4 linked regions of the Oreochromis niloticus genome follow. The protein of the gene in region 1 interacts with the protein of each later gene in a pairwise test. Links are inferred from orthologs where the notes say so. Each region holds a gene or a part of one and is shown in the gene's direction. Other genes may lie near its edges.

What was found.
Region 2: the proteins of hspb1 (region 1) and fxr1 interact in a two-hybrid assay, tested with the Homo sapiens proteins (2 studies listed by BioGRID and IntAct). The link is inferred for Oreochromis niloticus from reciprocal best matches to the Homo sapiens genes HSPB1 and FXR1.
Region 3: the proteins of hspb1 (region 1) and wdr83 interact in binary tests that used the Homo sapiens proteins (3 or more experiments, as listed by UniProt). The link is inferred for Oreochromis niloticus from reciprocal best matches to the Homo sapiens genes HSPB1 and WDR83.
Region 4: the proteins of hspb1 (region 1) and bag3 interact in binary tests that used the Homo sapiens proteins (3 or more experiments, as listed by UniProt). The link is inferred for Oreochromis niloticus from reciprocal best matches to the Homo sapiens genes HSPB1 and BAG3.

What each region holds. Positions count from the first base shown.
Region 1 is NC_031975.2:6,936,291-6,944,171, reverse strand, and holds the start of hspb1 (heat shock protein beta-1), read left to right. Parts: upstream 1-4,639; coding exon 4,640-5,030; intron 5,031-7,881. Other genes in the region: srrm3 (serine/arginine repetitive matrix protein 3), read left to right, coding at 1,213-1,492. UniProt on the Homo sapiens protein: Small heat shock protein which functions as a molecular chaperone probably maintaining denatured proteins in a folding-competent state. Plays a role in stress resistance and actin organization.
Region 2 is NC_031981.2:30,302,464-30,309,997, forward strand, and holds the start of fxr1 (RNA-binding protein FXR1), read left to right. Parts: upstream 1-4,408; 5' UTR 4,409-4,513; intron 4,514-4,615; 5' UTR 4,616-4,678; coding exon 4,679-4,729; intron 4,730-7,534. UniProt on the Homo sapiens protein: mRNA-binding protein that acts as a regulator of mRNAs translation and/or stability, and which is required for various processes, such as neurogenesis, muscle development and spermatogenesis.
Region 3 is NC_031971.2:7,021,320-7,028,716, reverse strand, and holds the start of wdr83 (WD repeat domain-containing protein 83), read left to right. Parts: upstream 1-4,181; 5' UTR 4,182-4,324; intron 4,325-4,991; 5' UTR 4,992-5,001; coding exon 5,002-5,104; intron 5,105-5,291; coding exon 5,292-5,412; intron 5,413-5,541; coding exon 5,542-5,647; intron 5,648-5,815; coding exon 5,816-5,864; intron 5,865-6,087; coding exon 6,088-6,214; intron 6,215-6,379; coding exon 6,380-6,447; intron 6,448-6,591; coding exon 6,592-6,700; intron 6,701-7,122; coding exon 7,123-7,237; intron 7,238-7,397. Other genes in the region: wdr83os (PAT complex subunit Asterix), read right to left, coding at 834-900, 1,833-1,930, 2,999-3,104, 3,924-3,973. UniProt on the Homo sapiens protein: Molecular scaffold protein for various multimeric protein complexes. Acts as a module in the assembly of a multicomponent scaffold for the ERK pathway, linking ERK responses to specific agonists.
Region 4 is NC_031978.2:25,360,008-25,368,113, forward strand, and holds the start of bag3 (BAG family molecular chaperone regulator 3), read left to right. Parts: upstream 1-4,985; 5' UTR 4,986-5,158; coding exon 5,159-5,356; intron 5,357-7,129; coding exon 7,130-7,468; intron 7,469-7,589; coding exon 7,590-7,934; intron 7,935-8,070; coding exon 8,071-8,106. Other genes in the region: tial1 (nucleolysin TIAR), read right to left, coding at 228-336, 612-687, 2,177-2,264, 2,394-2,448, 2,596-2,694, 2,802-2,898, 3,284-3,312. UniProt on the Homo sapiens protein: Co-chaperone and adapter protein that connects different classes of molecular chaperones including heat shock proteins 70 (HSP70s), e.g. HSPA1A/HSP70 or HSPA8/HSC70, and small heat shock proteins (sHSPs), e.g. HSPB8.

The sequences.
Region 1 (7,881 bases):
TGAACTGGCAAAAGATTTCATTGGTTAATTTAGTTGTTCCAGTTGTTCTATTCCATTTTAATGAGTCTTTTTAAAACCATTTATTAGACTCATCCACATATTTGTTTCCTGCTTACTTCTTAGACTTCTTAATTTATTCTCATATGATCGTTTCATTGTTACCAATAGAAATGCTTTTAGGTGCAGTTAATTATTCAGACAAACAGAGGAAGAAGAAAGTCCCACCTGCAGGTGAAATGTGTTTCAGCCTCTCCCTGTGTTACCTCTGCAACCTTCTCATTCGAGTGTAAATAGCCATGGGTAAAATGTGTGTACTTTGTCATCTTTCACTTCAGTCCTTAAAGGTCCCGACACCAGGACAACGGGCTACTGCTGAACCCAATTGCTGCCGGCTAGTCACCCCGGTAACAGTTGCCGTGCAGCAGGACCCTGATACCGTGACTGAAGTTTGGCTGAGCAGCAACTCATCAGAGCTCCCATGAGTAAACTGGGCTTCCTCCTCTGTCCTTTCTCTGCTTCTTCATCTCATTCCTGAAACTCACTCCGGCTCTAGAGCCGCACCCTGCTGTATTTCTGCACTACTGTTGTAACACAAAGGATGCAGAGATTAAAGCGCTATCAAGGTTTATTAGAGTGGAAGCCCCCCTCTTTCCCTCACACACCTTATTGCTCACACTGTTGATTCCCACAGCCAATGTAGAAGACAAAAGCTGGGGTTGAGTTATCTACAGCGCTGCTCGTGAAATGTACCTCGTAGCAGCAGGGATACCTTGATAGCGTTTATCTCTCCCTGCACCACTGACTCTTGATTTTTATTTTCTGGGTGTTGGCCTCCACTGAGAAGATGAGGTTCTTAGGGAACTAACGGCTAATTACCTTACAGGAAGTAAGGGTGGCCAGGGTGGCTATTAACAAGGCAATCTAAGCTTGAACTTCAACTAAACACATGCATTTTTCTGCTATACGTGTGTGTGTGTGTGTGTGTGTGTGTGTGTGTGTGTGTGTGTGTGTGTGTGTGAGGCTGAAGAGCTTTTTTTTAACCCACATAGCTGCTCTCTTTCAGATCCTGTACTGATTACACGTCACCATTCTGTGACCTAACACTGATTGCCTTAATCTTGCTTTAACATCAGATTTAACAGTATAACCATAGAAAATAGGACTAGGACATAGGACTAACTGTTCAAACCCTTATTTTTCCCCCTCCTCCAGCGCTCGGAAGCGGCCGATTCCATACTACCGGCCCAGTCCTTCATCTTCCAGCTACGACAGCAGCCCGTCACAATCCAGCCGCAGCCACAGCCGCAGCTACAGCAGCTACAGCCGCAGCAGAAGTCACAGCAGGAGCCACAGCAGGAGCCGGAGCCAGAGCTGGAGCCGCAGCCACAGCTGGAGTCGCAGCCAGAGCCGGAGCTGGAGTCGCAGCAGGAGCCGCTCCCGCAGCCACCACAGTTATTACAGCCGCAGCAGCTATGACAGCCCGGGGTTCTGATGGCGACCAGCAGAACGAGAACAAAAAAAAAAACAGGAACAAAAGTAGGAGAAGTGCTGTTAAACCTGCTGCACTCCGGTAGATTCATTACGTATCCTTAGCAAGTCCTCGGCAGGGGCCGCACTGCTGTACAGCCCGGGATCCAAACTCCTTCACCATGGACCATTCTGTCTCTAACACAGAGCCTGGATCAAAGAGAGGAAAATGTATTTTGATATAGCACATTACCATGAAATTGGCTGTCACTGTTCATGTCTTCTCACACATTCAAGGAAAGGTTTTTTCTTTTTTACGTGTCTAAAATGAATTGGCTGAGCCCAAAGAACAAATGTATGTTAGCACTTTCCTTCTCATCTTCCACACAGCTACCAAAAATACATTCAATAACAGTTAATAACAGTTATATAAGTATATATAGATATATATCAAATATATCCTGAAAAGAGGGGCTGAGTAGACGAAAAGAAGACGAAAAGAAGGCAGACACATCGAAATCACACAGCTTACTGTACATTTCAGAGAATCACTTCGTTTTCTCTCATCATGTAATCATCAACCCCAAAGACTTCCAGTTCATCCAAGCACACAGATCAACAAAAAGAGAACAAAAGAGAAGTCAGAGGATGAATCAGGAAAAGAAATAAAAATAACTTTTTTTTTTCTTTTTTTAGAAGAAAACTGTATTGCATAGATTTGTCTGTACAGATGTAAACTCTCTTAAGTTTGGCTTTGTAAACTATGCACTGTATATTCCATATAGTTTGAAGAGGTATGTTCAGCATGATTCATCAGGAGAGAGTCAAGGAACCTGATGGAAATGATAGGTGCCAGCAGGGTGAATCTGCCCTCCCCCTTCCCCCTGACCTTTGCAAACAGAGGTTAATGAACGCATTACGTTCGTTATGCTAATCCTGTGCGAGAGTGTGTTCGCGTTTGTATGTGTGTGTGAGTGTGAACCTCCTTTACAAAGATCAACGAGGTAATGATTTACGTGAGCTGCTGTATGGTACCATACTGCAAAAAGTCTCCATGCACATTTGTGAGTTGATCTCAGCTGTTTATGAAACTTGCTGTATTTATTCATTTATTTATTGGGTTATTTATTGTTTAATGTATTTATCATTTCGCTGTGAAGCAGTTGGATCATGGTTTGGAGATGGGTTTGCTGCAGATTTGAGAAAAGTACTGTAAATGTCCACGTTATGATACAGAATCGGTTTCTCATTGCAAAGGTTAGCTCCTGTTATCAGATCAACAAGCAGTGCACAGATGCATTGCTACGTGTTTAAGGAGCTCTGATTTTTGAGCCAGTTGAACTGAGCGTTCACCCACAGTTACTCCCACCACTGCCATTATTGCGTCCCCAGCCGTTATAATGATTCATGGTAACGCAGGGCCGCTGTGGCTCTGCCTGTGCCGAGGGAGGAAGAGAACTCGGCCTGAAGCAGCCTGAAGAGTCTATTACTCTGCTGTACATTTCCAGTCACTCCATATTTCAGTCCCTTGTATAATTGGCCACACGTTTCTAGCAGAGGTCTCCCCGGTTGCTGGCTACAAAAGATAATGAGCGATGGCTTGGCAGGCACGGCAGCAGGCTGTGTCTGCACCTCCATGAGGGTGGTTAACAAACAGGTGATACAATCAGGGATCAGCCTAAGTCTTCCTTACCATTCACCCGGTCTCATGACATGCATTTCCAGTGTAACCACACTTATCCCAGCTATGATACTCTGCAGCCTGACCATTTATTCCAAGTATAGCATTGCCCCTTTGATTCTACAAATCATTCTTTGTATTGTACAAGTTATTATACCTGACAATAAACAGAAACAAATGGGGAAATGATCCAGTTTTTGAGTTCTTCTCTCTGCCTTCAGGTGCAGTCAGCGATAACTTGTTGGTGCTGTGTATGTATTTTCCTACAGATGGCACTGATGAGAACCTTGACCAAAAACATGAAGCCTCTCTCTATTAAGTAGGCTAGAATGTTCTCCAGCTGTGGGGAATTACTGAAACGTCGAGGCAAACTTGGGCTGAGAGGAAGACGTGGCTTATTTTAGAGGCAGATATCACATCCTGTGCTGTAACTTTGAGGGATTAGATTTCTTACACTAAGACCTGAGCCAAATCTTCCACAAATCAAATACTTACTTACTTTGCCATATATCAAATAAATTAACATAACCTCCATTTCACTGTCACATCTATTTTTTAAATTAGCCTAGCACATTTAAAACAATAGAAGCTGACCCAAAGTGCTTAAGAGACAGACACATTTACATTCCAGGTCTTCAACTACTTCATGTGCAAAGTAAAAATCATGATGATTTAGTGGTCATTAAAATGTATTCAGATTTTGGAAACTGGCAATTAATCTCATAAATCATGACATACTACTCCCCCCTAGATAAACTGCCTTCATAGTTTAAAAATATGTGTACTAGTATTAGTAATACTGGCCGTGTATTTACTTGGTTTCGGATCGATACCAAAATTGCAGTATCACGCGGCACTAACTAATCCAGTAAACAATGAAAGACTGTCAGGTTAACAGAAGACTTGAGACACTACAGCTTGTTAATTCCCTCTTTGTGACAATGAAGTATCAATAGGCAGGTGTGAACATGGTGGATTTTCCTCCAGTTTTAATGCAGTCAAGTCATTTGCATTCATGTACCAAACTGATATTCCACTGTGTATTTCATTCAGGGCTGACTGGGTTCATAGCACACCATAGTGTTGTTAGAAATAGCATGTTAGCTTGTAAGTAGACTGACAGAAGCCTCCCAGATTCTTCTGGCTCTTTGAGACGCACAGGGAGAGGAGAAGGGGGTTTACACACAGCACTCAGGGCATTGGGCAGCTGTTACATGGGAGGGCCTTCCTGTTGAATTCCATTCCAGTGCTACGTCCGCTACAAATAGATATTCTAGTGCTTTCCTAAAACATTCTGGAGGCATGAGGTATTGGGCTTGAGTCTGAAGGGAGGGTTCGGTTGATAAGGGACCACCCCTTATCAGTGGGTATAAAAGCTCTCAGCTGAGAGGCAGACAGCACATTAAGAAAACACTTCCAGAGAGGCCAAGGGGCTCTTGATCTGCACACAGCAACACTCCTCTGAAGCTTAGAAGAAATACCCAGATCATCATGGCTGAGAGACGTATTCCTTTCACCTTGCTCCGCACTCCGAGCTGGGACCCATTTCGTGACTGGCACCAGAGCAGCCGTATCTTTGACCAGACCTTCGGCATGCCCGCCCTGCCCGAGGACATCGCCGCATTCCCCAGCACCCACTGGCCAGGGTACCTGAGGCCATCCATCCTGGCCCCAGAACTAATGACACCGCATGCCCCTTTGATGTATCCAACCCACATGATGGCTCAGCAGGCTCAGGCTCGGGCCCTGTCCCGCCAGCTGAGCAGCGGAATTTCCGAGATCAAGCAGACCCAAGACAGCTGGAAAGTATCGCTGGATGTGAACCACTTCTCACCTGAGGAGCTGGTGGTGAAGACGAAAGATGGCGTGGTGGAAATCTCGGGTGAGCACTTATTTGATTTCTGTCGCTCTCCTTATTGAATGATTTAAAGGTCATAGTGTTTTATGTCCTGAAACCTAATGTGTCATATTCCAGTCAGATGTTCCTTGAGTGACACACTTTATCATACACCTACATCTCTTTATCCTTAGAAGACAGCTGTACTGGTTGGTATGCACACTGTCTCACTTTGGTGTTCTTAAGTGTCTCTTTTTCTTCTGTAAAACAAAAATTGATAGAACTGAACAAAGCATGAGGTGGTTACATAGTTACATAACATATTGAGACAATAGAGTAATGTGTTCAGGGAGTTGGGAGGGTCAGGGGGGTTTGACTGTAAGCCCACTGGACGCAAAACAAGACACAGTTCAAAATGTGGGAGTTGACTTTTAAAGAAGCTCAGGCATGAAAACAATGTTAAAACAGCCTCACTGTCCATCCAGGACGGGCAGGAGCAAAGCAGACCTGAAGAAAGTGTGGAACTGATCAGATAGCAGCTTAGTTCTCTGAAGCCCTGTGCTCTCTTTTCTCTGAGTGAATCTCGGCCTCCCTGCCTGCTATTTCACAAAGGATCCCATTCTCAGAGCTGGGGATTTAGCTGCAGCTCAACCAGTAGGTCCACTACTTTAAAAGGACTGCTGGATCTTGTCCAGGTCCAGGGTTCAGTCCCTGACTGTACCCAACGTCTCTCCGCTCAGAGACTGGACCTCATCATAAACACTGAGATAAACAAAGCACAAGATTCAATCCAAGTGGAATTTGCCACCCCATGTTCCACCCCATGTATCACCAGTGACCCAGGATGATATTTTAAACACGACAGTGTAATGAAGAATTTTGTAAACACACCAAAGTGCGACCTCTCTCTAGCTGTCGCTCAAAACTAATGACCCTTCATTTAGCTGTTGAAAAAGTGTGTGTTACACAAGTAATTTGGTCCAGTTAAAAAGGGGACACCACTCTCTGGACCGCAACCTTTATCGGTCCGTTGTCACAACAAACATATTACTGTATTCAGAGGCAGAATGAAGGGCAGCGTTTCAACTTCATAGCAGGGCATCTGAGATACAAGAGGCTGATTAAGTCTGGTGAGGATCTTAAGTGGCCGGTGTGGTTCAGTAGCACTGAACTGCATGAGTTTTAGAGTTAACCTAACATATATGCAAATTAAAACTCTCTGAAAAAATCATTTATGAAACATTTTAGAAATCTATGAAGACATGTATGTATATCCTTAGTGCTTTACAGCTTTTCTTGATTGCTGTCATGCAGCAGTCAACTCAAACAGGCCTAACAGAGGCACTGACGGTCAAAGTGACACATTTTGTTTATGCCTCCAAAAGCTAATTTTGCTTTCAAAACAACACAATTTGCAAACAAGTATATTAGATTTTCCAATCAATCATTACACAATGGACAACAAAATACAAAATGCAGTGCTCAGTGGGATCCAGAATCAAAAATGCTTTGATGCAAACTGGCTGAAAACTGAAATACTGTACATGTTACAGAAAATACATAAATGCAAAATGAATACAGTAAACCAAAATAAAATCTATTACAGTATAAGAAACAGCCGCTATTGATACTCAGTCCCTTCTGACTTGACGAGTTGGCCACAAGGCTTCATCCACATTAGACTCAAAATTCTCTCTCACAATGCACCGAGGAAAAAATCTTCTTTCATGCCGTATCCAACTTTGACATTCCTCCTCACCTATTTCTTGAGCTGCAGCAGTCATTGCATTCAGAAAGGGTATCTGCTCATAGGGATGGTGATAATAAACTCCTCTAAGGGATTCAAAAATGGGGCACATACTAGGAGGAACTGCATCATTATATGTGGGTGTACTGTAAACCACTCATTGGTGGAACGCCACATTATCCCAGATAATGGCGAAGAGGGGCATGACAGTCCTCAACAGCCCTCTGTCCTCAGGCTAGATCAGCCTCTCATGAAGTGTATTCAGGAATGTCATGAGTCCTTCGGTGTTGTATGGGTGAATAGTGGGGATATAGCATAGGACACCATCATTGGAGATGGCAGAACACGTGGGTATGTTGGTACCCCTCTGTTCTGGAACTATGAAAGTGGCCCTGTATCCAGTGAGGTTCCTTCCACAACTCCTGACTTTACAGGAGCCGACTTCATCAACATAAATGAAGACATGATGTGCCCCCTCAGCTTCAAGCTCCATTCTTCTCTGAGTAAAAGCAAAATTACAATGAAAAGTGACTCCAGTTGACTTTAACTGAATGATATGACAAGGCATTACAGCATCTGGCCTCCTTCACAACCTCAGAGTTCCTTTGAAATGGAACTCTGTAGAGCTGCTTCATGGAAATATGGTTGCTTTTCAAGACTTGGTCAGTGGTGGTCAGGCCCACGTTGTTGAGGTTCCTGATCTGCGATCACTGCTGCCCTGATTTCACGGAGCCTTATGGCATTGTTTGCCATAAGGCTGCGTGAAAATTGTCCCTCTTCCACCAGAGAACGGCAGTTCTATAAAGAATACATGTAATGGGAATGAGGAAACAATTACATGAAGTATATTGCTGAAGATATTACTACACAGCAACATTACAGTGTTTCTGTTTAAAGCGGTTGTACTCTTTGTCCAGCCTCTTTAAGTGAAAAGCCATGATTGATAGCATGATCGATAACAGCTGCCCGTAATTTCTTCTGAAACTTGAGCCTTTCCAACTACACCTCCAACTCACACACAGACGTCTCTTCCTCGGACCCCTCTACCTGTTACTCTCACTCTCATCTGCCTTAGACCTCCTCCATCCATGCTAGTAAAGAACAACACAGGTGTGCACCTTTGAAGGCCTGCAAACATATTGCTAATTA
Region 2 (7,534 bases), on another chromosome or scaffold:
TGTGTGTGTGTGTGTGTGGGAGAGAGAGACAGAGAGAGAGAGAGAGGGCGAGAGAGAGTTTTTATGGGAGCATCTTATTGTATGATTTAAATTCAATATATTTAGACTGGTTGACTGAATTTGATCCTGTGTGTGTCTCTCTGTGCTTGTGGGACTTTTTGCAGCTGTCCATTTTGCTTTTCCAATTTTTCTATTTAAGTTATTACTATTGTGCTAAGTCATAGCATTTGTGCTGCTTTTCAGTATTTGTGCTAAATACAGCATTTCTGCTAAATCATACTATTTCTGCTATTTTATAAGATTTGTGCTAAATACAGCATTTGTGCTAAATCATACTATTTCTGCTATTTTATAGGATTTGTACTTAATATAATATTTCTGCTTAATTATAGTATTTCTGCCATTTTATAGTATTTGTGCTAAAACATAGTATTTCTACTAAATGCAGTATTTCTGGGTAATCATTGTATTTCTATATATTTCTGCCAGGTCCCCAGGGAGTCAGTCCTAATATTCAAATTTACATATCAGGACCTGGACGGCTTCCCAGCCAGCCAATCATATCTGAGTCCTGGCACATTTAAATTTGCATATTGGGGCATTCATGGCTTCCCAGCCAGCCAATCATATCTGAGTCCTGGCACATTCAAATTTGCATATTGGGACCTTCATGGCTTCCCAGCCAGCCAATCATATCTGAGTCCTGGCACATTCAAATTTGCATATTGGGACCTTCATGGCTTCCCAGCCAGCCAATCATATCTGAGTCCTGGCACATTCAAATTTGCATATTGGGACCTTCATGGCTTCTCAGCCAGCCAATCATATCTGAGTCCTGGCACATTCAAATTTGCATATTGGGACCTTCGTGGCTTCTAAGCCCACCAATCATCTATGTCATATATCTCTAATATTTCATATTTTTATTTTAAATGGTCAGCATTTCAAGATTCCCCTATGTCTTCTGAATAAAATGGTCTAAGAATGACTGTTTTAGCCCCTACGGTTAGAAATTTATGGCTGTTTGTTTGAGGGGAATTCTCACTATGAGAAATAGACTGCAAAAATCCTGTCTCTCTCTGTGCTGCATGTGTAAAAGCCTGCACTTAGTGCACCAGTTTTGGCGGGAAAAAGCACACAGCCTCTCTGATTGGTGGATTCAAATTGAGAAGGTCACAGCTGTTTGACTGACCTAGAAACATGCTGTTAACAGCCCCTGTTGACTTTCTGCTGCTGCTGCTGCTGTGTGTGTGTGTGTGTGTGTGTGTGTGTGTGAGACAGAGAGAGAGAGAAAGGGAGGGCGAGAGAGAGTTTTTATGGGAGCATCTTATTGTATGATTTTAATTCAATATATTTAGACTGGTTGACTGAATTTGGTCCTGTGTGTGTCTCTCTGTGCATGTGTGTTTCAATATGTGTCCATATTTGTGATTGTGTGACTGTTATACTTTTTTTTGCTGATTTTCTTTTCATTTAACAATTACATTTGAGGGACCCTTAGCATGCTCAGGATTTTTTCAGCTGTCCATTTTGCTTTTCCAATTTTTCTATTTAAGTTATTACTATTGTGCTAAGTCATAGCATTTCTGCTGCTTTTCAGTATTTGTGCTAAATACAGCATTTCTGCTATTTTATAAGATTTGTGCTAAATATAGTATTTCTGTCAAATTACAGCATTTCTGCTATGTTGTACTGTTTCTCTAAATCATAGTATTTCTGTAATGTTTAAGAATGTTTGGCTAAATATATTCTTTCTGTTATCTTATACTATTTCTCCTAAATTCTTGTATTTTTGAGAAGTTATCGTGTTTCTAGTAAGTTACAATATTTCTGCTAAGTTCTGCTATGCTATTGTATTTCTGCCAAGTATTATGTTTCCTCTAAGATATTGCAGTTCTGCTAAGTAATTACATTTTTGCTAAGTTCTTATGCTTCTGCAAAGTTATTACAATTTTTTGCAAAGGTTTTACAACTTCTGCAACTTTTCAGCTTTTTCAGCTAGTTTCAGCTGACAGCTTCAGCTTTACAGCATCCACACTGCATTTTCGCAGGAAATGCAAATTTTTCTAGTTTTAGTTGAATTTGGATGTTGGGGCTTTCCTCTTTATTTGCAACTACACAAACAGATATGACCACCTATTTGTTGCAAGTGATCCTTTTGGTGTTTTTTTAATAACTAAACAAATGTCCAAGTGACATTTCCAAACTAGATGAATCTGTTCTCCATCCAACTTGACATGTATCGATGAATAAAAATACTAGCTTGCAAATATCAGTGTACACTGTGCACACACTGATGTTATATTGCTGAGGATGATTTTAACAAATAGTTTATCTCTGGTGCAGTCTGATGGTCTGATCAGAAATAATATAGTATCTGCTGCACAGTGATAGCAGACCTCAAGAGAATAACTAATCGCCACTAGGTGTCACAGTGGCTGTTTGTAAAAGATGAGCCAGCACCTGCTCTCTGTTTGCCTGTCTGCCACATTCAGTGTAGAGTCTTATGTGTTACACGTTCCTCTACCAAATCTACAGAGTAACTCTGTCAGGGAGCTTTTAGAAAATTATACTAGCTAAATAAATGATTAAAAGATACACTCAAATTAGGCGTATTTTTCCTGTGAAAACAGGGATAAAATAATATTGGATTCAAGCACCATTTGCTGGAAGCAAATGTCACCTGCACTGGATGTGAAGGTATTCTCAGTACCTGAGATATTTTGACAATTTTGAACATTTTGAGGTCAGCTGTTTTGTATTACATGGCTTTTATACACTTTTCTCTGTGCAGGAGAAATGAAGATCTCTTAAAAGGTAATGTGAACTTGGCTATCTGTGATAAATCATTATACAAACGAGCCAAACTTACTAATTTGAACTCAAGGAAATAGGCCATAGCATCCGGAAAAGAATATTGAATACTGCATTACTCCTCAGAATGTATGTCAGTTGGCTGATAACAGAAACACTGAAAATAAGTCTGTCAATAAGGCATTGCACCACAGGTTTCTAGAACAGTTTGCAAAAAAAGAAATTTGTTATGTTTTCCAAAATATTTTGGTAATATTATAATTAACATTACCAACCTGTGCGTACGCCTGGTGGCTAGAATATCTATTTGGGGGCTTTTTTTTTCAAGCACACCAATCATTTTAGTAACTACTGTCATCATTCTGGAAGAATGAACTTTCATCAGGACCATGAATGCTTCACTGTAGGACAAATGTCATCACTCTGTATGACTTTGAAGTGACTTGTACGTACAATGGCAATGCAGGGATTGAAAAGGGATTCACTGGACCAAATCCCCACCTGTAAAAAAAGAGGCGAGCAGTCAGAACTCTTCGCAAAAATGAGGTGAGGTCCCTGTATTCTTCTTTTTTTCTTCTTCTAAGGCAACACAAGTTTGCCTTTTCAGAGCTATTCATCAGACTGTTTAATTTTTCCCTGCTGCTCAGTACATTGCTACATTTTCTCATACCTGAGAAGATGTAGTTTCATAGGCAGGTAAAGCTGGATTTTTAAAAAAGGTTTAAACACTGGAAATTAAAAAACTAAAAAATGGAGAATGTATCTCTTAAGTTTGAATCTCGCACCACATTGATATGCACAGCAAATGTCATTTTTTATCATAGTCTAACCATTTGACCCTTTTTCTACAACTCTCATTATTGATGATGTTTACTTTTAGAGCAGCATTTCAAGCTGTATCCTACGTAGTGTCCCAATAAAAGAGACCTACATTTATATTCTGATAGTGGACTTTTTTTTTTTTTTAACAATTTCATATAAATTTAGAACTGTTGACAGTAGAGTCCAGGAAAGTAATGCTGAAGTAGCAGCAGATAGTTGCCCCTCCTTAAAGCGGGTACTTCCTGTTAAGATGGTGTTTTTCTGTTCCACCTTCACCCAGTGCCTGCTCATAGGGGGACGTTTGATTGTTGGGCTTTTCATTCTAATGCTTTAAGCTCCTTACCTTGCAGGATGAAGTGCAACATTTGCTATGATTTGGCAGTATGTAAATAAAATGAACCTTAATTGAATTCCTCCTGAAATTGACTGTCTTTAAGTTTGTGAGGGGGGGTTTGGTACTCCACTACATTTTCAGAGAAAAATTTCTCCTAAATATCACATAATCAGACCAAACTTTTTGTGTTATAATCCTTCCACCGTAGTTCTGCAAGGAAACACTGCTCAAGAAACTGAAAAGGGGATTTACTTTTTACTAAAAGTATTGCAACTGGGTCAGCTATCTTGACTAAGTAAGTTTGGTTTGATTAACTCAGTCTAACTATAGATTGTCTGTGTTATTGCAAAGAATGGAATAACTTGTACTGAAAGTGATTTAGTAGGTGTCTTCTAATTGTCATTATAACAGCAAGAGTAGATACAGCAAACAGTAACTACAGCAACAAGCTCTCAATGTACATTAGCAATAAAACGGGCCTGAAACTACAAAACATAAATAAAAGGGCATTCATCTTTTGTAGTTTCACTTTTGGTTTGTCAGGTAAGCTACATTAGGATAACAAGATATATTTTCATTTTAATTCAGTTTTGAATGTGCAAATTTTACATGTACTTCGTTGTTATACATTTTACTGGTGCTAAGATGTCAAGTCCTCCTGACGCTTGAAGGAGCACCTGTCGTCCCAACATCCTTTGCGTTTCCAATATGGAAGAACTGGCGGTGGAGGTCCGTGGCTCCAACGGGGCTTATTACAAGGTAAATACCGGCTTATCAATACAGTTTCAAGCATAAAAGTTTTTCATACGGTACAGTATTCTAGTTTAAGTCTCGTGGATTGTGGCAACATGATCCGACTTCCTCTGTACGTACCCGAGAGTTCGATATTAGCTTGTACTAGCAGTGCTAGCCATAATTAGCAAGCTAAGCTAGCGTCACTCCCATGTCCTCGCCAGCTGACGCTTTTGAGGACCTTTCTTTAAAGCCAGTTTGGAAGAACCGCAGTCTTGCATGCGATAACTTGAATACACAACACAGGGTAGCAGTTATTAATTTTACTTGACTTCTTGTGCAGCTTTCTCGAGCTGAAAGTTAGCTAACTTGATAGTTGCCTAGCTGTTGACGTCGAAAGATGTTGCTGAAGTAAGTAGTATCTGCATGTGTCATCATTGGCTATTGAGCTGATATCAGAAACACGGAGGACCAGCCCATTATACCTTCACGTAGTTTATTAAAGTGTGTCATGTTGTGAAGGCACCGTGGTTGGTGGTGTGAGAGATTTTGAAGTCTCTCTGCACAGACTTCACGACTGACTGTCGCTGTCTATTATTTGATACTCCATCATGCCGAAGCTATTTTTTCGGTATGTGTGAGCCAGCTGTTCCTTGTCAATCCCGACCAGCTGGCATGTGTGTCGAGTGGGTCACTGATACCATCGACTCTAAAGCTATTTCTAGACGTGCTGCCCACAGCAACACCCTCGCCTCTTCTCCCCCTATGTCTCCTCTCTCTTCTCATTTTTCTCCAAACTTCCAAGTTTTTCTTTCTTGTCTCACCTTCACAGCCCATGACTTCTTTTGTACTACTGCATTTTCACACTGTGCTCATTGCTTTTCCTTATTTAACCCAACCCTTTTCCCTGGGCGATTCTGTCTACCCTGCCACCGCTGTGTCTTAAACTCTTTAAACATACGTGTGTGTGCTTTCTTTGAATGTAATCAACACCGTCCTTCACGCAAGCGAGACACATGGCTTAAATAAGTGTCTGAACGCATTGAACCTGGGGTTCAGTACTGTCAAGTGTGGTGTGTGGGGTTGGGTACCTTTCACGTCTAACACTAGCACAGGTGTGGTGCCAAAAAATGATCCACTGTCAAAACTGATTTCTGATGTTTCTGTGTGTGCGTGTGTGTGTTTTCTTTTTGTTGTTGCTTTTTTTAATGATATCTTTACTTATATTGTTAAATAGACTGTAGTCATTAGAATTTATGAAGGAGTTATACGTTAAGTAAAGAAGTTACTAGTTTTACAGTGTTTTTACGTCTCTCTGTTATTGTGCCTGTGTATGAAAGAACTGTGATGATATATTTGTTGCGTTTTCCACTGCCCTCTTGGCCAGATCTCTCTTGAAAAAGACTTTTGTAATGTCAATAACACTTTTTGGATAAATAAAGGATATATAAAAGTAATTTTGCAGCTTCTACCTTGTGATAGGAATGTTGTTTGTAGCATCAAAATGACTTGATACCTTTCATAAGAGATATATTTGCCATATGTTTGACAGATTATAGGCTAACAAGTAATTTTACAACAGATAAAACAGATTTTTGGCAAATACTGGAAAGCAGTTCAAAACTTTCTCTTGCAAAACAAGTCCATACTTATCAAATCTATCATTTTGTTATTTATTTATTTATTTATTTAGATATTTTACACACTAAACTATCTGTGTTGGTCGCTATCTGTTACCATCAGTGATGCTGATGTCACTGTCGCAGTGTTAACATACCACAGTATTAAATAGTAGTGCTAGACTATTATCGGTTGTGGTTACATATTAAGGTTTCAGACATGCTATCTCACATAGTGTAAGAAAGTATGATTGTTTACTGCAGATAATATGCTAATAAATGCAGTGTTAAATATGTTAAAACATAAACTAAGACAGTGACAACAAAGCTCTATTTCTCTGACAGTAATTGATCTAACTCCCAAATTACCTGAAGAAGCTCATGAAGCTGTCAGTGTCTCACTAAAATACTTTTCTTCAGTTCATTGCCACTGTCCTTTGTTTTTGTTGTTCTTTTGTTTGTTTTCTGGTACTGAAATTTGACAGAAGAATAGCACCAAAAGTGAAAGGGAAGATTTTCAAGAGGGTATTGAAAGTTGCTGGTTTCACTGCCTGCAAGTTTGGCTTTGATTCAAAGAGAGGAAGCCAAGCTGGAGGTGGCAGAAGTGAAGATGTTTAGATTTTCAGTAGAAAATGTAATGAATGGACAAGATTAGAAATTAGTACATCAGAGCAACAGCTCAGGTTGAGCATATTGGAGACAAAGTTAGAGAGGCAAGGCTGAGATGGTTTGGACATGTGCAGAGGAGGGACATAATGGAAAAAGGATGTTGAAGATGGAGCTGCCAGGCAGGAAGAAATGAGGACATCACAGATGGTTTATGGATGTAATGATGGAGGACATGCAGACTGTTGGTGTGACAAAGAAGAATGCTAGGGATAGGGTGACATGGAAGCAGATGGTCTGCTGTGGGAACCCCTGAAGGAACCAGCTGAAAGAAGTCTTTGTTTATGGCTTTCAGATTTTACTAGTCCAGTTTTAAGATCTCTGCTGCAGAGATTTAACAACAGTATAGTTATTACATTTTTTCATCCATATGAAAAATTACAGCCATTGACGATCAGTTTACTAATAGATAAATACCTTGGTTTTATTTTGAAAGTTTGGCTGCTATTACTCATTGAGTGTTGTGGCGGTCATCAGTATCAGTCAGCTGCTAATTGACATCCAACATCCTGAAAGTTGGAGTGAAGCTGTGGGAGGCTAGGCTACT
Region 3 (7,397 bases), on another chromosome or scaffold:
AAGGTTTGGTTTTGGCACTTATTGATGATGGTTAGGTACCTGACCAGTTTAAAGCAAATGCGGTGAGCAGTTTTGGAAAAGGTGAGTGACACGCAGATACAAGACTGTTGACTCTGTTCAGCCAGATTTAATTTTGGGTGAAGCATTTGCATCTCTCACTGGAAACTCTACATCCAAACGTAGAAAATTTACTTTCTGGGATTTGCTTACCTGGTTGATTAAGCATGCATCAAAACACTGACATACAGTAACATCCAAATATTTGCAGGAGGATTCAGTAGGACTTTGTGTAATTCATGTGTAATTCACTATGATGGTGAAGCTTTGTGGAATAAAGCAAACCAAAATGTAAATAGGGGCGAGATTAACTTGATAGGATGTGTCAAAGTCTGTTATTTATTTTGTGACCTGTCAAATGTACCCGAGCGTCACAAAAATGAGATGTATGTTGACATGATTATTTAAGGCCAAGTAAACAATCTAAATGTCATATAAGCAAATCCTTAACACTTTTCCTCCAGAGTAATAAAAGCCAGCAGATCCTTTTAAAACCGTAAAACTTTATTGATGACATCAGTTCATGAACAAGCAAAAGACTTAGAAAAGGTTATAAACACAAAAAAACAAGTCCAAGATATTTTATCTTTCTATCTTGACGTAGTGCTCTCCTTGCTGTCTACCTCTCCTGCTCGTCTGTTTTCTCTCTATTACATTATGTTCTTCTTCGTCTCTGTTTATGCTCATAGATGGCCGGGGGGGATTCAGTCAGATGTGCTGTCACCCACTCCTGCATCCACAATTCACTTCTGCTCTCTCCTGAGATTGGCCGTATGTTACCATGGCGGTGACATTGGCTGTGGGTTCTGGAGGTAGGACATCACAACTGCTGAGATGGACAGCCTGAAGACAGCACAGAAAATGGGATCAAAGCATCATGAAAACTGTGCAATTTAGGTTTTTAAAGGCATGTTAAAATTTTGCTTTGTAGCACCTTTTTCTGCAAAGGGGAGCTCTTTAAAATGACTCATTGTTACACTGCTTACAAAACAAAAATACACTCCTGGTTGCTTTTAATTGTATTATTTTGCTGAATACTTGGGGTATTATAAAATCCTGCAGTTGAGCACAGCTAAGAGTAGAATTTGTGCCTGAACCTTTTGAAGCTTCTATGGGGTAAATTCACCCACACACGTGGGACCATTTTCATCTGATACCCTCAATGTCATACTTGCCCTCCACTGTCCATTCATCCTGCACAACCACTTGGAGTGTCCTAAATTTGGCCTTGAACCAGCTTCTACACACACAAGGCTGGTGCCTTTAACTGGTCGTCTGACATTATTTGCCGAGCCAAACATTTTGCATTACTAATCTTTGAGTGCATTAGGTTCATTTTTAATACGACCTCATTCAGACAATGGACAAGAAGGCTTTTCCTCATTGCAAATCTGTCTGTGAAGCCTGGACAGGGGCCCTACTGTAGTGGTCTTTTATAGGCAAATGTACCTCCCAGATGGGTCACACATTTAAAAGCTTTTGGACATTAAAGCTGGCTTGTCTGGACTTGCAGTTGCAGAAAGACACAAGGTCTAACCTCCAATTTCAAAAATGCAGACTCCTACCCTATAATCTAAACATGTTCATTTTACTGGCCATTATAACTAAGAACTAACAAAAATAGTTTAAGTTTGTTCCAGTTTGAGCCAAAAAAATGTTAATTTTATATCAAATGGCTTTAACATAGATAAATCTTAAACAATATACAAAGCAGTGCTACACATGCATTGTGTAGTGTGTTTATAGTGCATCCACAGATGGGATGGTATACTCACATGAAGCTGCTCATCATCTGTTTGGTGTCCTCTGAGCTTCGGGAGTTTGCAAAGCTGATGAACGAGCAGTAGACTGCGATCCATGCACACCACTTAAGCTGAAACACAAACACATGAGTCAGCTTTAGACTGTGTTTATGTTCTGACGAGCTTATTAGAGATGTATAACAAAAAAAGGTGAAAAAGTTGCAGGGCTGAAATCTGCTAAAGAAATAGAGGAGCATCTAACAGCACAGCTCCTAAATTGCACTTAACTGGTACATGAAGTACATGAGGAACAATTATGTGGTCTGGAAGTGCTCGTATCACAGAAAGCATACAGAGATGCTTAACACAGCATAACCCGTGTGGGGGTTATGCTGTGTTGAGCATCTGTTATCCCATTTGGACAGAGGTCCAAATAGGATAACAGCATTCCAGGAAAACTCTAGTCTAAAGCCAAGGGTGGTCCTGATAATCTGTTTTCAAACAAGCCTCTGAATCACTAAATGCTTAGCTACAGTATTGAGTAGAGAATGGAACAGAAAGAACATGAATCACATGGGCTCAAAATAAGACTCCACAGGTTTTATATACTGAGGAGCTGGAAGAGTAAAGTGTGTTTAATGCCTGCTTCAACTGATTCAGAAAGTTGCATTCTCACACAGGGATCCTTTAAGTAATGTCTACAAAGTGCAAATGTGAAAACAGCAAGAGAGTACGTTTTTAGGTGTTGCCACTGTTTGTACACCATCTTCAAATGCAATCATTCCCAGCATTTGCCTAAAATTTAAGATGCTCCTTCTTAATATTTTGCCTTGAATCAAAAATGAGTAAAAATTGTCAGTTGGTTATTAAAAGAAAGTCAATTATAAAAATGTTCTCCTTGGACCTTGAATGAATGACTTCAGCTCCATCGTCTTTTTTTTTTCCCCACTCATTGTGTCCTTTGTGGTCACGTCGGTAGCTGCTGTTCATCCTTTCATCTAAAAAGGCAGGTTTACCTTTAATCTTCTAAATGGAATGAATGGGCCTAAGGTCTATCCTTCAGGGGCAACACATGTTTATGTGGACACATAAATATGCAGAAAACAAAGGAGATGGAAGTCAGAGTTTTGGTGTGAGGAGGGTTTTGTGTGTGTGTGTGTGTGTGTGTGTGTGTGTGTGTGTGTGTGTGTGTAGGTCACCTTGAGCATAAGTCCACACATGCTGAAGATCATGCCGAGCAGGTTCATGTAGTCAGGTGTGGGGTCCTCCAGTGTCGGGTTAGTCTCTGTGCTGGGAGGTTTGTACCTGTCATGACACAAACTTATTTTAACCAAAGACAACTAAAAGGGAAACTTACTGTTTTTTTGGTCACTGTTAAAATCTCTGGTCCTAAGTTTATATAAATAAACACACATTTTACACAGCTGAAAATTTTCTCTACAAAACTTTTGACACTATAAGACTTTCATATGTTGCTACAGAAGTCTTCCCTGCTTCACGATGTCCTTAAAGCAAATTTTGGAACCTGACTATAGGGATTTTCTCCCATTCAGCCACAGAAGCTTTACTGCAGTGCCAAACTTGCACTTGATGTTTTTGATCCAGTTTATCTCACATGTTAAACTCAGTTCAAGTATGTCCAAAGGAGAATCACCATGTTACCAAAAAGGAGCCATCCCCAGTGTTTCCAACAAGTTATTGCCTAATTTATTGGTACTGGTTGTTGTTGATTTCCTGCTGTTATCATTTTTCCTACAACAACTTCTTAGTTAACCATTGAACACCTTTATGAAAACCGCTACTGACGGGCCCGAAACAAAGCAATCTATGACAGCTAACTCAAAAGAGACCCATTGGAAATCATAATCGTAAATAACGGTGAAACAAAGATGGGAACAGGTTGGGTTAGTCACGACGACTTTGTGTAAAATTAAACAACCAAGAGCGGACAACATATTGATTAGCTGCCATTATACAGCTGCTCTTCAGCAGTATATATTAGGTCCTACAGCTAATTCGCCCAGTTAATCCTTTCAGGCTCCACTCATTATAAATGATATAGGTTAGCTAGCTGTTAGCTCTATTCTATAACGTAGAAACTTGTTGACTGAATTAAACGCCCACCTTAAGATTTTATTTTGCCTCCTCGGGTCTGCCATATTGTTGGATAACATAATATGTTTCAAGGTCTTCCTATTGTAAGCAAATGAAAATAAGTTTAAACTCCGAAAACCGACAGACAGCTGACCAGCTACTTCAGGAAAGGAGTCGACAGAGAGAGTCGTTTCCGGTGTATTTAACAATAAAAGCTTAACGCAATCCTTATGCCAATATCAAAGCGGTAAATGCTTTTCGAGCTTTTATTTTGACGGGAATAATTGTTCCCATGATGCATTGCGTGCCTGTGCTAAAAACATGGAAGAAATGATGCGAAGGAGAGGGTTATAGTAACAAACTGAGCAAAAACGTTACTTTTAATCAGGAATGTGAATATGGCACGTCCCTGAAACTGTCTTTCAATAAAAGTAAGTGAGCGAAATAAGCTACATAGAAATAAATAAAGTTGTCTGCTTTAATTCAAGAGGTCCTTTAAGTCATTCATGGATTAAGGAGAAATTGCCTAAATGTATCCGATAAACGTAAATAGTTTAAATGTTGGTATGTAGTGCTTTTGTGAAAGCTAATAAAACTGTCTGTATGACAGGATATCATACTCTGTAACTAGCTTAAATTTTTGTAGCCGTGTAAACTTCTGGTCTTAAATCTACAGCTACAGCAGACTATGCGGAAGAATTTAAGAGTTTAGGATCGCCACAGCATGTCCTTCACTTCACCAGTTTGTCTTCTCTGTGGTCTTCCTTTTTTCCTCCCAACGGGCACCTCCACATCCTCTGTTCAATACTGTCTAAACCATCTCAGCTCTGCCTTTTTGACTTTGTCTCCAAACTGCTCGACCTGAGCTGTCTCTCTGATCTAATCTAATTCTAATCTTGTCACTTCCAGTGTTGCTTTTTATTGACCCCAGATTTTTAAACGTTTCCCCTTTCACTACCTCTACTCTTTGCATGGTCAACGTAACACCCGCCTCTTTACCATTTATACACATGTATTCTGTCTTGCTTCTGACTTTCATTTTAGAAGGAGATGCTAATGTGGGTAGCTAAAAGGTTTGTGTGTGTTTGTTTTAAACAGAGGTTAAGTGATGGCATTTCCTCAGCCCAGACCTCAGGCTCCTCAACTTCCTCAACATCTTCTCAGAACCATAGACTGTCAGCAAGGAGCTGTCAGGGCTGTTCGCTTCAACAGTAAGAAAAAGCTAAAAAAACAAATCATTCTCAAGTTGAGTCTATTTAGCTGCTGGCATAATATCAATTGCCAAATCTTGTTGAAATTGTATGATCTTTATTTCATTTGTTAAAAGTATGTAAGCTCCATTCCTCAGTTCTGAGTTATCCACTTATATCAGCTTGTCTCTGGGTCATGTCTTTTAAGTTGATGGGAACTACCTGCTGTCTTGTGGCAGTGACAAGTCTTTAAAACTGTGGAGTGCAAGCCGAGGCACCTTGTTGAAGACGTACAGTGGTCATGGATACGAGGTTTTGGATGCTGATGGGTGAGAGAACTACCACGGGGTTGTCTACGGGGTTTTAGTCTCAGGAATATAGCCCCAGAAGTAATATAAGCAAATGTTTAAAGTGTATAAAATAAATGAATGACCTTTTCTCGTTGGCTCCTTGCACAGGTCCTATGACAACAGCCAGATTTGCTCATGTAGCTCAGATAAGACAGTGATTCTGTGGGACGTCGCCACCGGCCAGGTCACACGCAAACTCAGGGGTCATGCCGGGGTCAGTCCTTCTCTTTTTAGCTCTGTGTTTCACTTTGGGCATCATGGTATTTCATTTGAAAAACATCTGCATGTTTTCATGGCGGCTGCACTGTTGTTTGTGCCTGTGTACTTGTTTTATGTAATATTTTTTTCACTGTCTGTCTCCTTTTCAAATTTTTGTTTGCAGAAAGTTAACTGTGTGCAGTTTAATGAGGAGGCAACAGTCATATTGTCTGGTGAGTCATAATGACAGTAAATTATTTATGGAATGTGGATGTTCTAACTGGTGTCTGCCTTATGTTAAAGTCAGTTATCTGTACATTCTCAAAGTTTCCATGCTTTAATCATCCAACTTGAAACGTAAACTATTTTTAGTATTTCTTGTATTTGCTTAGCAAATGTATAAACTATTACATTTGTATTTACTGGGTTTTATTTTTATGTATTCTCATCATTCAGGGTCCATAGACGGGACAGTTCGATGCTGGGACACCAGATCCAGAAGATATGAGCCAATCCAGGTTCTAGATGAAGCTCGGGACAGCATCAGCAGCCTCAAGGTGGCACAACACGAGCTGCTTACTGGGTCAGCACTTCAGACATAGTTGGGAAAAAAAAACAATCTGCATGTTAAGAGTTTCACAAATAAAAACAGAGATTTGATTCATTTATTCAACTATTTTTGTTCATTTTTGCTATGGAAGTTTATAATAATAATAATTATAATAATGATAATGATCTTGTGTTTTAGGTCGGTGGATGGCAGAGTGAGGCGCTACGACCTGAGAATGGGACAGCTACATGTTGACTTCATCAGCAGTTAGTAATCTTTTTCATAACATTTTTTTAAACTTTCACACAGTTTAATCTCAGCAGATATTACTGTTACATACTGATTTTTGTAGCAAAACAGTTTCACTGAAAATATAAAACCATTGAAGTGTTTTTATCCTTGCGTTCCAGGTCCTATTACCTGTGTGTGTTTCAGTCAAGATGGTCAGTGTACCCTGAGCTCTAGCTTGGATTCAACACTCAGACTTCTAGACAAGAGCACCGGTGAAATGCTGGGAGAGTGAGTGCTGATTGTTTTCACTTACAGTGTGATGTGCTGCTACTATGGCTTCATAAAGTAAAAGCAATACAATAAATATTGTTTTTTTGTTACCTCATTATGATATCTGAAAACTGAAATCTGAAAACTTGTTCCCTGACAAGCTGACTGGTTGCAATATTTTCTTTGCAACCAGCCATCAGCTTGTCAGAGAACATTTGTCCCTCGCGACCGTTGGTTGTGCTCTTGAGTAATGTCCGCATGACATCACTCGAGATACCTCAACATTTAACATAACCTCAGGACCACATGACATAAACTGAAATTTAGAAATTAGACCACAGTTAACTTAGAGTGAGTAATTACAAGATTCTAAATCGTACGATTTACTGATGTAAATAAGTTTTTTAACTCATGTTTTTATCATATATTTGTTTTTATAGGTATACCGGACACAAGATGAAGGGCTACAAATTGGATTGCTGCCTGTCCAGTAAAGACACCCACGTCCTGAGCTGCTCAGAGGACGGACACGTTTACTGCTGGGACCTGGTGGAGGTAACTATGCATTTGAATTTGATTTTCGAATGGTACTTAAAGGGCCTCTGCAGAAAACAACTGTTATTAAATGAAGTGAACAACATCTGCATTCTGTCAGTCACTTTTGCATCAATGTGGTTTGACATTTGTAATCATTGGTTAGTATCACAGTTAGGTG
Region 4 (8,106 bases), on another chromosome or scaffold:
GGCTGCAGCAGCATTAGACCACATTGGATGACATTCCTGTCAGCTACAATTCACACAGCTACACCAAAAACCAGATAATAGAAGATTGGACTGTTTCCTGATCTGATTAATCTCAATATCTGCAGCAGCATTCAGACGTTAGGGTCAGAATTTGGTGTGAATAACATGAATAACATGAATGCTGAAATCATAGCACCTGCCGAAACTGGATATCTGACAATACTCACTGTCCTGAGTGCTCTTAGGAGCTGGAGGTTTGCGCGTAGCCCAGTTAGTCCTGATTTGGCGCCCTCCGAGCCACTGTCCCGACATGTTAATAATGGCATTCTCTGCATCCTGTAAACCCAAACCAAACGATTACTCATGGATTTGATAGATTGATAAAACTCATTTGTGGCCATGCATTACTCTTTTTCATTTTAAAATCAGAATTCTGAGATTGAAACTGAAACTGGTGATTAAAATAGGAAATTAGTAATGTTAGATGCTTGTAGTTAGGATAAGACTAACTATGAATAATTGAGTTTTAAGTGCTGTGAATGTATTGAAGTAGGATAAGAAACAGAAAATAGAAATAACCTTCAGTCTGTGTTCTCGCACTGGAGCCTTACCAGTTTGTTGTAGAAGGACACAAATCCATACCCCTTTGATTTGCCTGTCGTCATGTCCTTCACAACTCGGGCATCCCTGGAAGGAGAAATGAGAACAACTTCAGCACACTTTGAAGTTTAAATCTTCTACACTAAAACAAAAAAGGAACCACGCAAAACACAATGAACTGTGAATCCTCTACTCTGTCCGACATTAAGCTACATTAGCTATCATGACCTTGTACGGAGTACTGACTCGTAATATAACTTCAAAGCAACACTTGAAAAACAAGTACAAATACATGCAGCCTACAGTACTGTCTTTAAATCATTTCTGACGTATTAATGGATCTTTACCACTAGAGCACCACTGTTTGCTCAGTCCTCACAACAGTAGGCTACAGATTTAAAAATCACAAAGCAAATGGCTATGGATTACCATGCATTCTTATAAGCTGCTGTTCGTACTCTTACTACAGACAGAAATAAATAGAAAATATCAAAAAGAGAAAAAAGGAATTAAACGGCATACATGGCCTGTTAACAGATTTCTTTATTTTTCCTGGTCAATTCTTTACCACCAATATGGAGTATGGAGTTTGGGGAGCTGCAAATTTTGAGAAATTGACATTTTCAGAATTTTTGGAAGAGGATCATGGCACTACAAACAACACTATGCAAATCAAAAATAAGACAAAAAACACAGATTTAGAGGAAGACATTTTGTATTGGAATTTGTTAATCTAAGCTAGGTCATGTTAATACATGGCATCTACAAATAAAGACATATGGAAAGAATGGAATAAATAGAGAAAAAAACTACATCTGAGTCTCCAGAGTGCACAGTTCCTTGCTGTTAGCCTTCAAGCTCCTGTCCAATCCTATGAGCATTTCTGTAAAATAACCAAAGTGCTATTACTTCACTGAGACTCAAAACTAAAAGCTGTTCAGGTACATATACACAGCTTACATTTTGCTCACATGCTGTACAGTTTACTTACCACACCCTACATATGCATAAAAAAAACTGACAGTTCAGTCATAAAAATAAAGACATAATAGACCGACCACATTGTCAATGCAAATGTGTCGCCACTCTATATCTAAAAACAACAACAACATAATTTTAAAGGTATTAGTTACTCCATGTTTAAGTATGTTTACATGCATCGATGTGGGGCCTTTTCTACTCAATGTAAGCAATACTCTTTGTGACAATAAAGGGCTATTCTATTCTACTCTATTCCATTCCAGTGTTAATCCTTTCCTGTTACACATTCATTATGTTGTCTGGTTCGTTTTTCTCTCCAAAAGGTGTGCACAGAGCGCCAATTTCCAGTCCTTGACAATCAAACATAATTGTCTTTCAACCAAAAAGATTACATCAGTAATGCAGGCCTCATTGTGTAATGCAACTTTCTGTTTCACCTTTACAACCTATAAAACCTGTTTCTCAACCGACTGGGAGGAAGAAAAAAAAAAAAATCAGTGGTTGGACTGAAACATATTGTATTACACATAAGACAAGTAGAAAAAAAATACACACACACAAACACTCTCACACTCACACACACGTAAAAACTTACGATATTTTCCCAAATGGTGCAAACGCAACCCTGACATCCTCAGTAGTAATCTCTGGATTCAAATCACCCACAAAAACATGGAAGTGATCTAGTACAAAAGAAAACACGAACATAGTAAACAAACTATTTGCTAATCCCCAGTAGACTCTGATTCCAGCAGAGTGTACGTGTGTTTGTGTGCGTGGTGGTGTAGGGGAATCAATAGGCGATCGCTTACTGGATGTGTCTTTCTTCTGGCTACTTGGAGTGGTGGCCCAATTTACTTTAACCTCCTGAAAACAGAATTCACAGAGAGCACTTAAAACTGTGAAGAAGACTCAGGAAAACAATGTTGTATGATATTCAAGGATGAGAGGCATTAATACAACAAATAAACTTAATAACTTTGCATATAATTTTTTAGAGCAGCTATGTCCTACCTTTCCTAATATCTTCCTCCCATTCATGGCTGCAAGGGCTGCAGCAGCATCTCTGTGTTCAAAGAACTCCACAAAGCAATAGGGATCATTGCTCGTGTGCTGTAAGGATAAGATCAGACACAACAGATTAACAGTGTGGCTCAACTAAAACTACAACTAGGTGAAAATGTAGAAAACAAGATAACCCAGCAACCTTAGCTGCTTACCTCTGTGATCATTTTACAGCTTTTGCATGGTCCTATCTGGGTGAAGAGCTGCAGGATCAGAATTTCTGTTACATCCCTGGAGAGGTTTCCCACATACCTAGAGGAGGAAAAATAAAAAGAAGTCCACTTACTCCAGGAAACGAGCTATTTACTTTGAAAAAGTGAAGCACGGGTACTTCGTTTCTGGTATTACAGTATCATTGGTGATTATGAGTTTTTGAAGTGAAGTTCCTTACAGTAGTCTGTTTTTAACGATGTTAGTAACATCTAACAGACAGTTGTTAACACTTATATATAACTCACATATACTTATTAATTAACTCTTATGTCAATTAACCTGAAAATAGTGGAGCATAAACGCTAAATGTTTATGTCGTCCAGTTGTTTGTGGAAACAACAGCTAGCTAATTTAGCCACCGAACACCGACGATAGCGAAACTAATGACACGCAACGTTACTGCCGGACACGAAAAACTACTTACAGGGTTCTGGGGTGGGTTTCGTCGTCCATAGTCGATGCTGACAGTAACCAGGGAAGAAAACGCCACTTACTAGCTAGTTATAGCTGGTATTAACTGGCAATTAGAAACCACAACTAGCTAACTAGCTTAGAAGCTAGCTAACCGGGCGCCAGAGCATACGTCACACTGTGAGAGTCCAGAGTACGTACGTGCGTGTGCAGGAAGAGACCCGTCACATAAGGTTGAAGTAATAAAAGGCTTTTTGCGTTCTTAATAGTAAAAAATTGAAAATTTCTTAAAGACCGTTACTTCTGAATGACACCATTTTTAAAAAATTAACTGTAAAAAGCCGAAAGAGCAAACCTAATGTGTACTTATTTTATTAATTTTGGAAAAGGAAGCTGCATACGAAACTCTTATTTTGAAATGCAATGCAAAGGTACGCTTGTTTTCAATGCCGAGATTTGACGGCTCAAGGCAGTGGCGCGAACCACCAGGACCTTTCTCGAATCTGAGCTCAGATGTCACTGTGAAGAAATTTCCCGTTTGACTTGTACATTCACGCTTTATTAACAAACTCTTTTAAATGCTTAGTCACAACAAGGCAGTGGTTGTGGGGTGGGGGATGGAAGGAAATTATATGTCAAAGTATATGTAAAAAAAGTTGAATAACAAGATTGTTGAGTTTATTGCCTGAACTGTTGTGATAACCCTGGGTGTACAGAACCAAAGAATTGTACTTTTTTTTATACTACCCAAAGACATTTTTTTTTCTTTCCCCCCTCATTTTTATTTTTTCCTTGTGGTTTAAACTTGGCGCATAGTGGGCGCTTTTATTTTGAAGGACTTTTATTAAAGGACAAATGCGTAAAAAATGATCCCCTGTCATTCTTAAGTCTACTAGTAATTTTCCATAAAAAATACTAAAGACTTTAGTTACTCTCACTCTTTAATGTTACTGGCTCTAATTTGTGTTGCGCAACCGCGATATTTTTACAGCCATAAGAAGCCGCTTGAGGTGGATTAAGAAAAGCGTGGCGATGGGTAATTAACGGTGATATAATTGACAAGCTTGCAAAAATTAAAGTTGGCTTCCCCTCCTCGCAGGCAGATATCCAATTAAAACGAATTGCTCCCATAAACTACTTAATACATATTTTATTACTGTCAATCACGTGTGTATTTTCTGGTATGCCAAAATGCAAATATTAGATGTCGTTGCCTGCAATGTCCAAAATATCAAACACCTTTAAAAATCCATGTGTTGAACGTTTGTGACACTGTTAAGTCCACGAGATCAAAGGTTTGCTGCACTGGTGTTTTCCTTGTAGTACAGGGCAGAATTGGAGTAGTCCTTTGATTAAGAAAGATCAGTCATTAGACGTGTCACTGTGCCCACACTTATCACACCACCAGTTACATAATTGTGCACCAAATCAATGCAAACCCAGACTGAGTTCCCTTGGACAGCATTTATTATGTGGGAGTCTGAGTACATCTATTTGGAGAACATCTTTTTAAGCAAACACTTTGGGATTCCCTTGTCTTGGAAAATGGTTCAGGGGCAGGGGTCACTGAGGAAGGTCCACAGTGCCCACTGTACACGTAAGGGTGATTACTTCTCTGCCCAGACAGGACACAGCAAAGAGGGGGAAAAGGATGCATGGTGGGGTGGGCAAAAAAAAAAAAAAAAAAAAAAAAAAAAAAAAATATCGAGGGTTTACTCTGTGTCTATGTGAGGGGGGGGTCTGCCTGCGACATAACAAATCTGGGAACCCATGCCACTGTATCCAGCGCTGTCCGCCCCCAACATTAACCCTGCTATTTCGAGAAACTTCCAGCCCACTTTTCCACGTCACTTGAAGGAATCTTTAAAGCGTCCGTCGCCCGTATAAAATGTCTCAGTACTCGACAGCCAGCAATATGAACGGCATGAAGACACAGTCACCGATACTGACCATGGCGAGTAATGACAACGACCCTCTCCCCCTCGGTTGGGAAGTAAAAATTGACCCTCAGACTGGATGGCCCTTCTTCGTGGACCACAACAACCGTACCACAACCTGGAATGACCCGAGACACGACACGAAAAAGGTAAAAGAGCGGCGGGATAAAGTTGGTCAGTTAACGGTAACGGCTAACGGCAGTTTCACCGCTATTTTTTTTTCTGTCGACGTGCGTCGGTTGTGGTGCATGTTTTGGTTTGTTGCGTTGTTAAAGCGGCAGAAGCCTTTGCGCTACATCACTGTTATATATTAGTCTTGTTGACCGTAGGCCCTGTTTGGCACCGTTGCCTCCCCCTCACGGACAGCTCATAAGCCCATTATAACGGGTGATCAACTCTGATATGTTCCCGAGTCATGATCTAACACTATTATTACTCGATGACTCACTCTGCAGCATGCAAAAGGCTACCCATGATGAGCTCCCCGGCATTTTAATGTGTTTCTTTCACGGTGCAAAACAGTGCTGCGACGTCCTGCTCATATTAAACTTTTTCCCTTACAAGGATCGAGGCTGGTCCACTTCGCTTCGGTTGTGTACGGCTGTAGCCGGGCGCTGGCTGCCCCCCGCGTATCGCATTCAGCTGTATTAAAAACCGTGTTGTGAAAGCGCACAGGTCTGCAGAGAAAACCCGTGGGCTGAAGTGAGCTTCACAGCCTGCCAGCTGGTAATCTTTCGTCTCAGAGAGAGAGACGCTGTTGTCCAAAGTTAGTGTCCAGAGGAATCTGCTAGAAAGACACAGCTGTTGGGGGATAAAATTGGTGCAATGGTGCTGGCAGCGTGCAGTGTCCCATAGTGGCAGAGGGCAAAGGGTCGTTCACGGCTATTTCATTACTTTAGTCCTACTGGAAGAATGCCACTGATTTACAGATAAATGCAGTGTTTGCTTTGTAGGTGTTTACTTCGGGTGTGTTTCGGGCAGCTGGTACAACTTTTGTCACTTTTCAGTTATGCCATTAACTGAGTGCTGAACTGGCAGACCTGTTGCTTGTACCCATCCATAGCTGTCATGTGCAGGTGTGTAGTCTAGAGTAATACTAATAGAAAACAAGCGCCTTTCTGCAGTAGAAAATGGAAATTTAAAGCATTGATTTACTAGTCATACGGTAGAACCCAGCCCCTTCTTTTAATTATATTTTACTCTTGTATGTATACAAATGTATCCTGGGATTGTCTATGATTGGATGAATAAATGTTGCTCGAGAAAGAATTTACTGTGCTATGTGGAAAGAACTCATATATTTGCTTTTTTTTTTTTTTCAATCAAAGCAAACCACATTTCCTCTTTCTGTAAAAATCCTAATGTTTGGCTGATATTATTAGATCCAAGGATGTGCTAACTGTTGTTGTTGGATAAGTCAGGACATTCATCCAGGTTATGTTACTCTGATTGTGAAACAATCAACAATAATATTCATCACGGAAACAGCAAGCTGTCTGACGGGAAACGCACCAGAGCCTGTGGGTTCACATATCAAAGATTCAATACTTTTGGCATCCCTCTGCGAAATTGTGACATTTTAACCTATAACCTCTGCAGTTACCTCAGGATGGAAAACACTTTGCTTTTTAAAATTCCTTAATACTTTGAAGAAAAACATTTAGTGGCACATCGTAAAATGTCCTGTTGTACGTGGACTTAAATGCAACTCTTTAAGTGGAGGAGCTTATAGCTGAATATTTAACATATGTAAAAGTAATTTTTCTTCTGTTACACACCCATGAGCAAGAATAGGTTGGCTAAAAATATATTAAAGCACATTTTGTAATCAACCGATGCCTAAAATTTGCAATAAACTACAACAGCAACTGTAATTAATCTGAGTATAAGGTTACATAGATTGCTATGTTGCTATGTTTCAGGTTCGAGAAGTGTCAGCAAATGGACCCAACATACAGCCAGAACTAAGTCCTCAGGAGACACAGAAGACCTTTGTGAGGGAGATGAAGCACCCCATTCTTCGCCCAGGTTATGTTCCCATCCCAGTCTATCATGAGGGTGCAGAACTGAGGCAGCAGCAGCAGCACCCGTGTTATTCCTACATCCAGCCGAGCACTGCACAGAACATCCGGACAGATGGGCGGACACCTTCCCCAACGCCGGGGCTCCACTGCAGGCCTAGATCGCCTTTACATGGCCCGTCAGACAGCTCCTCCGCTGAGCCTGGAAAGACGAGCTCGCCTGTCTCACAGACACCAGAGGTGGGAATTGAGTTTAAATGTGCCACCAGATGGAGTATAATGTTTACAGTAGGCAGAAATGTTCCAATTTTCAAACAACTACTGAATTTTGACTGTTTTAATTTGTTCATTTATTTTTAAGGCTTATACTGTTACGCATCACCAACCTTCACGGCCCAGCAGCACCGGTCTCCAGTCTGGTTATATCCCTATACCAGTGATTCATGAGGGTGGAGGGGGACAAACACAGGTTCAATTAAATCCCTCAGTTTACTCTCAGCGCATCCCTTACCCAGAACATCAGCAGCCCTTCCATCGTCTTCAGACAGATGAATGGCCCGGCTACTCTGCTGCAATGCAGCCCCCCCGGGAACAGGCTTCGCCAACTCTGTTTCCTCAGCACCGCGATACTGCCTCCATTCATCTCCCTCCTCACATCAGAAGCCAGTCACCTGTTATATCACAAGTGATGGGAGAAAGGCCACAGGTAATTTTACTTTTTCTGTGTGGCGTGTTGTTGTTTTTTGTTTTTTTCAGATATATATATAAAGCTTTGATTTCCCTGTTAGCATGCTGTGACCTAGATTTTGACAGATTCCAATAAATTGTTTTTGACTTCTAAGGTTCAGCAGCATATCCTCACGAGAGAGCCGCCACAG